Callithrix jacchus: one gene and its partner. The protein of the gene in region 1 binds, or shares a complex with, the protein of each later gene. Links are inferred from orthologs where the notes say so. Each region holds a gene or a part of one and is shown in the gene's direction. Other genes may lie near its edges.

The links.
Region 2: the proteins of ETFB (region 1) and ETFA are in contact, whole or in part, in a crystal structure (PDB 2A1U), measured with the Homo sapiens proteins. The link is inferred for Callithrix jacchus from reciprocal best matches to the Homo sapiens genes ETFB and ETFA. Residues at the interface, in NP_001976.1 of Homo sapiens: Ile14, Tyr16, Val18, Ile20, Val22, Val29, Thr31, Phe41, Leu102, Arg106, Lys124, Gln125, Ile127, Asp128, Asp129, Asp130, Cys131, Asn132, Gln133, Gln136, Met137, Ala139, Gly140, Phe141, Asp143, Trp144, Pro145, Gln146, Thr148, Phe149; in NP_000117.1 of Homo sapiens: Glu27, Leu88, Pro89, Glu90, Ser113, Ala114, Phe115, Lys117, Asn118, Pro121, Arg122, Ala124, Ala125, Lys126, Glu128, Val129, Ala130, Pro131, Ile132, Ser133, Arg146, Thr147, Ile148, Tyr149, Ala150, Gly151, Asn152, Ala153, Leu154, Cys155.

The regions. Positions count from the first base shown.
Region 1 is NC_133523.1:44,945,457-44,948,956, reverse strand, and holds part of ETFB (electron transfer flavoprotein subunit beta), read left to right. Parts: intron 1-472; coding exon 473-631; intron 632-1,184; coding exon 1,185-1,343; intron 1,344-3,363; coding exon 3,364-3,426; intron 3,427-3,500. UniProt on the Homo sapiens protein: Heterodimeric electron transfer flavoprotein that accepts electrons from several mitochondrial dehydrogenases, including acyl-CoA dehydrogenases, glutaryl-CoA and sarcosine dehydrogenase.
Region 2 is NC_133509.1:24,723,954-24,727,453, forward strand, and holds part of ETFA (electron transfer flavoprotein subunit alpha, mitochondrial), read left to right. Parts: intron 1-182; coding exon 183-282; intron 283-1,649; coding exon 1,650-1,760; intron 1,761-2,396; coding exon 2,397-2,498; intron 2,499-3,500. UniProt on the Homo sapiens protein: Heterodimeric electron transfer flavoprotein that accepts electrons from several mitochondrial dehydrogenases, including acyl-CoA dehydrogenases, glutaryl-CoA and sarcosine dehydrogenase.

The DNA.
Region 1 (3,500 bases):
TGCCTGTAGCTATGATTTTTCAGGCAGGCTGCTTCTCCGAGTACCAGGCTTTACTGTCTACCTAACTGATTTTTCCTTTTCTTCTCCTCATTTGTATTTATTTATCAGTGTGTTATGTCTTTATATACACTTGGGGATATGGAAAAATGCACCTCTCACTCTGGGTAACCGTAAATACTGTAAATTTGAGAACCACTCTTTCAGGCCTGATAAGGAGCAGTGACAGAGTAGGGATGATCATGTCAGATGTCCCTGGTACCCAGGAATGGCTGGATGAGAGGAGGAGAGAGGGTGACCTGCCCCTGCCTACAAGCTCTAACCCAGCTTGTCCCTGAAGCTGTGTGACCCTGGACAAGGCCCTGCCCCTTTCCAGACTGTTGTCCCCTTCTAACCTGGGAGAGAGATGGCACGGAGGCCCCCACCTTCTGGCCTGTTTCCTCCTGACCCCGCCTCCTGCCCTCCTGCTGAGCAGATCCGAGTGAAGCCTGATAGGACGGGTGTGGTCACGGATGGTGTGAAGCACTCCATGAACCCCTTCTGCGAGATTGCAGTGGAGGAGGCTGTGCGGCTCAAGGAGAAGAAGCTGTTGAAGGAGGTCATCGCCGTCAGCTGTGGGCCTGCACAGTGCCAGGTGCTGAGTCTGGGGAGGGCCTGGTCTCCTGGGTCTGAGGGAGGAGGGGCTGTGGGCCTGCACAGTGCCAGGTGCTCAGAGTCTGGGGAGGGCCTGGTCTCCTGGGTCTGAGGGAGGAGGGGATGGGGGCCAGACTCCTGGGTCTGAGGGAGGAGGGGCTGAGGGCCTGGACTCCTGGGTCTGAGGGAGGAGGGTCTGAGGGCCTGGACTCCTGGGTCTGAGGGAGGAGGGGATGGGGGCCAGACTCCTGGGTCTGAGGGAGGAGGGGATGGGGGCCTGGACTTCTGGGTCTGAGGGAGGAGGGGATGGGGGCCAGACTCCTGGGTCTGAGGGAGGAGTGGATGGGGGCCTGGACTTCTGGGTCTGAGGGAGGAGGGGATGGGGGCCAGACTCCTGGGTCTGAGGGAGGAGGGGCTGGGGGCCTGGACTTCTGGGTCTGAGGGAGGAGGGGATGGAAGCTAGATTCCTGGGTCTGAGGGAGGAGGGGATGGGGTCCAGATTCCTGGGTCCCTCTGGGGATAGTAGCCAAGTCAGGCTCCTCTGTCCTTGGCAGGAGACTATTCGTACCGCCCTTGCCATGGGTGCAGACCGAGGTATCCATGTGGAGGTGCCCCCGGCAGAAGCAGAACGCTTGGGTCCCCTGCAGGTGGCTCGGGTCCTGGCCAAGCTGGCAGAGAAGGAGAAGGTGGACCTGGTGCTGCTGGGCAAGCAGGTAGCTGTGGTCAGCCCCTCCTTGTGCCCCGGCTCATCCCTGCTCAGGAGGAGGGTGCTGGGGATGTGGGATGGGACAGCAGGTGGCCAGGCCCAGGGCATTCAGCCACTCCAGGCTGAGCAGCTTGGGACTTTGCTGTCCCTTCTGATAGAGAATTTGAGTAGGGAGGACAGAGTCCCTCTAGGTGTTAGATCCTCCTGGGCCAGGCACGATGGCTCATGCCTTTAATCCAGGCACTTTGGGTGGTCAAGGTGGGCAGATCACTTGAGGTCAGGAGTTTGAAATCAGCATGACCAACATGGCAAAACACTGTCTCTTCTAAAAATAGAAAAATTATCCAGGCATGGTGGCAGGCGCCTATAATCCCAGGTACTTGAGAGCCGAGGTGTGAGAATCACTTGAACCTGGCAGCCAGAGGTTGCAACGATACAAGATCACCTGGGGGCAGAGTTTCTTTCAAAAAGAAAAAAAAGAGAAAGATCCTCTTGGGTGAGTTTAGAGACTGGGAGACTAAGGTGATGGTCACTTGGGGAGAATGAGGCCTGGGCCAAACCTGATGGGACAGAGCAGAGACATGATATGGCAGGAGAGACTGGGCTTAGCCATGGGGAGGGAGGGCAGGGAGGAGGCAAGGACAGTGCCTGGGTCTGCCTCAGTAACACAGGTAGGAAACCTGGGAAGAACAGGACGTTACAGGCAGATCCTACATGGGGCGTGTGAAGAGCCCAGGAGACATTGATATAGGTTCAGGAGACTTGAGAATTTTGGAGGGCACTGGGGAGCTATGGGAAGTCTATGAGCAGAATAGGGAGGGGATCAGCACTAGATGCAGAAAGAGCCCCCTTGGGCTTCGAGAATGGACTGGAAGCAGAGATTGGAGGCCAGGAATTAGTGAAGAAGGTTAGGGCTGGGTGAGGACCCGACCAGAATCTCCTCTGCCACACTGGTGCTCTCCACTGGGGCAGAGGTGCATGGGGCTCATCTGTTCCCTCAGAAGACCCTGGGACACCATCCCTCCTCAGGGGATCTCATGTAAATCAGGTGCTTCAGGCACAGCTTGATCCAGAGTCCCACATGAGCTCTAGGCTCCCCTCTATCTTGGCTTCAATGTCTGCATCTCCAGGCTCAGATCCCACCAGCCCAGTGACCCCAGCAGAAAGAAAGGAGCCTCTTTGCCAAGGGCTCCAGCAAAGCTCCCAGGGTTGACTCTTCTTTGGTGCAGCTTGAGTAATGTGCTCCTCCCTGAATCAATCACTAGGATTAGGGCTAGGAGGTCCTCGCCAGCCCAGATCCTCTTCATCCAGCTGCCCAGGGGCCACAGGGCAGGACTCCTGAGAGGCTTTATACAGAGGGCAGAGATTTGGTGACAGGGATGCCATGTGGCCCCACATGCCCCTGGACAAGTGGCTGCTTATCTCTGGGCCCAAGTGAGGGGATTTAGACATAAGTCAATGAACTATGGCCCATAGCTACCACTGATTTATAAATAAAACTTTATTGGAACATCACCACATAGGTTCATTTACATATTATTTATGCCTACCTGTGTGCCACAGCAGCAGAGCTGAGTCATTGTGACAGAGACTGTATGACCTGCAAAGCCTAAAATATTTACTACATCTATTCCACCATAGAAAAAGTTTACCAACCCGCTGGGTGTGGTGGCTCATGCCTGTAATCCTAGCACTTTGGGATGCCAAGGGGGTGATGATCATCCGAGGTCAGGAGTTTGAGACCAGCCTGGCCAACATGGTAAAACCCTGTCTCTACTGAAAATATACAATTTAGCTGGGCATGGTGGTGCACGCCTGTAATCCCAGCTATTCAGGTAGCTGAGTCAGGAGAATTGCTTGAATCTGGAGGCAGAGGTTGAAGTAAGCCGAGACTGCACCATTGTACTCCAGACTGGGCAATAGAGCAAGACTCAAAAAGAAGAGAAAGAAAGAAAAACTAGACAAAGACCCGAATGGTCCGTGAGCTCCATTGATCGTCATACAGTCTTCTGTCTCTCCCCATTCAGGCCATCGATGATGACTGTAACCAGACGGGGCAGATGACAGCTGGATTTCTTGACTGGCCACAGGTGAGGCTGGAGTGGGGAGCACCTGCTGAGGGCCAGGCCCTCATCCCTCCGACTTCATTTCTGCCTCAGGCCCT
Region 2 (3,500 bases), on another chromosome or scaffold:
CACTCAATCTCTAAGACTATTCAAAAACCTGTGCTTGCAATTGTATATTCAAAGGTGCACATGACATATAAAATATCTGAATTAAAATTTCTACAAAATATGCATTTAGAATGTCATTATTGATGATTTATAGTTATTCATCACTATGTATGTGTGTAACTCACTGCTTATCTTGCTTTTAGAACCTTTTGCCCAGAGTAGCAGCCAAACTTGAGGTTGCCCCAATTTCTGACATCATTGCAATCAAGTCACCTGACACATTTGTGAGAACTATTTATGCAGGTGAGTACTCAAGGAAGATAATTAACATGTTAAATTTTAGTGAAAAGCATAAATTAATCTTGAAGGTAGAATTTTAAATCAAGCCATACAGTTGCTTTAAGTGGACCATCTTAAAGGTTTCTGAGGAAAATTTTAGTCTAGAATTGCTGATGGACCCTTGATAAGGCATTCTCTCTGATGGATCACAAGCACAGTGTTTACCTGCCTGGTCATTCAGTTTGCAGAGTGATATTTTCCTAGTGGTCAATAAAAATTAGATTCACTATTCAATATATTTTGTAAGTGGCACCTGGATAAACAAAACTTTAAAAAAAGATAGTATTCTCTCAGTCTTTGCTGCTTCTACCTCATTTCCTTCTGCATTAAGAAATTCATTTCAGCCAGCTGCAGTGACTCATGCCTGTAATCCCAGCACTTTGGCAGGCTGAGGTGAGAGGATTACTTGAACTCAGGAGTTCGAGTCTGTCCTAGGCAACATGATAAGACCCCCATCTCAAAAATAAAATAAAAAATTAGCTGAGCATGGTGGCATGTGTCTGTAGTCCGATACTTAGGAGGCTGAAGTGGGAGGATTGCTTGAGCCAGAAGGTCTAGGCTATAGTGAGTTGTGATCATGCCATAGCATTCTAGCCTGGGCAACAGAGCAAGACCCTGTCTCAGGCAAAAAAAAAAAAAAAAGATATGCATTTCATTGTCTCTTCAGTTGTTTGATGTTTTGCTAAACACAGTGCTCTCTAGTGGGGTTGGAGAAGGCAGTGAACTCTTCGTTTTTTTTCTGATTAAAGTTGTATATTTCATTATAAATGGCTAATTCTCAAATCAGAGTTTTCATCTTATGTAATGTTTGTGGAAAAATATTTTGTTGTAGTTTAGGTTACTGTTACTGTGATAGCTAATCCAGGGTGTCTCAAATCCTCAAAATCTTGGCACATCCATACCTTTTCTTTATGACTCATTGTGTTTTCAAGGTATTCCTCCTTTAGCTTGCATAGTAGCTATGTTCTTATTAGGTTGTTGCAGCTCATAGTTTTGAGTTACTGATTGTATTGTATTTGGAAAAGGAAGCTTTGTTCATATTCCTTTTAGGGGTGTAGTGTGCCTTCTTAGTGTGGCTGCCTGTTGCAGTTTCCTCCTCCTCGGTGTGGTAGTACTTGCCCTGCTTCTAAAGACATCCAGGGTTATACAAATATCTATTGATATGTTTCTTCACTGTTATGGTCCACTTTTTCTTATACTTAATAGAGTTAGAAAACAACTTGTCAACGGTTATTTCTTGCCTTGTCTGTGAAGTAAATTCCAAGCATCAAAGGAATACTAGTTTTGTTGCCTTTTGTTGTTGCTTTTTAAAAATAGATTGCGTGTTTCAGGAAATGCTGTATGTACAGTGAAGTGTGATGAGAAAGTGAAAGTGTTTTCAGTCCGTGGAACATCTTTTGAAGCTGCAGCAACAAGTGGCGGTAGTGGCAGTTCAGAAAAGGGTGAGTGTTCATTTGGAGTTTTTTGGTTTTGTTTATTTTTTTCATAGACTAAATAATAACAAAAGAGATGACCTCTGCTTAAATTTCTAATGCATAGTATTTTAAAGTTCAATTTAAATGATATTCCCAAGTTTGTACAAAAATAATAAATATATATAACTTACATCTTTTTCACATCATCTTTGATACTAGGATAGTTGCTTTGGTAGATCAAGGAAGTAGGAGACAGAGGGTCTATTAATATTAAGCTTTTTTACTCTTGTCACTGTTTCCTATTATGATATTTAGGTGATTCAATATAACAGAAGAATGTAATAATAGTAAATGTGTAGAGGGTGTTATGCTTTAACATATACAGTGTCTTATTTAAACCTTATAGAAAGAAAGTTATTCCATATTCAGACTCAGAGAATTAAATGTGTTCTCAAGTAATACAACTAATGTGGCAAAGGCTGGAATCTAGTCTCGTTAAGTCTTTCCATAATCAGAGAGAACGAATTAGGAGCATAGAAAATTCACAGTAATTAACAAACTTAAATTTCATGGAATTACATACTTGTGTGTTTTTCTGAAAAATAATTATTGTCATGGAAGTTGAAATCATAGTCATTGTTTTATGTGTATTAATGTGTGCAGCATCAAGTACTTCACCAGTAGGAATATCAGAGTGGCTTGACCAGAAATTAACAAAAAGTGATCGACCAGAGTTAACAGGTGCCAAAGTGGTGGTATCTGGTGGTAAGTGGAATATTAATCTTAAAATATGTAAACTGAAAATACTTTGTTTTGTTTGCTTGTTTTTTTTTTTAATATTAGAGGTACATGGATCTTTTTCAAATATAAGAAATTGAGAAGTTTCAGCTATTGTTCCCATTTAACCAGTTAGGAAAATGAAATTATGAACGTAATACACAGTTTGGGTTTCTGTTGCACACCTAGTCACTGGCACCAGGGGGAGCATGGTATAAATCTCATCTCTGTAGCTTTGCCACTTGGTACCATCTTACTGATAGACTTCTGTGTATTCTGCAGAGTATGGTTGGCTTCTGAATTGTAGACAGAACTGGTTGGAATTTCAGGACTTGTGTATAATTCCTCCCTTTGTTCCACTTGGAAAAATTTCCAGAGTTGCCCATGTCTGTGTATAACTCTAAAACGTTACTTAACATGTAATATCAAAACTGTTAATATTGCATAGGACATGCTTATTTTTGTATACCATGCTCCTTGTCTTTAAAAACAATGGTTTTTTATGGCCCACTGACTGACTTTGAAAGCATAAGGACTGCTGTGCTTTTTAAATCCTTGCAAATTAAACATTCAACAAAATAATTAAGCTTTCAGACAATCTTTATTAAAAGTGGCACTGAGAAAAAATAATATTTTGAAATGATGTATCTGACTTGGTTTTTTGTTTTTTGAGACAAAGTTTTGCTCTTGTCTCTCAGGCTGGAGTGCAATGACATAATCTTGGCTGACCGCAACCTCCACCTCACAAGTTTAAGTGATTCTCCTGCCTCAGCCTCCTGAGTAGTTGGGATTACAGGCATGTGCCACAATGCCCAGCACCTGTAATCCCAGCACTTTGGGAGGCTAAGGCAGATGGATCAGCTGAGGTCAGGAGTTTGACCAGCCTGGCCAATAGTGAAACCCCATCTCTACTAAAAATACAGAAAATTAGCTGGGCGTGGTGGCGAGTAATATAATCCCAGCTACTCAGGAGGCTGAGGCAGGAGAATC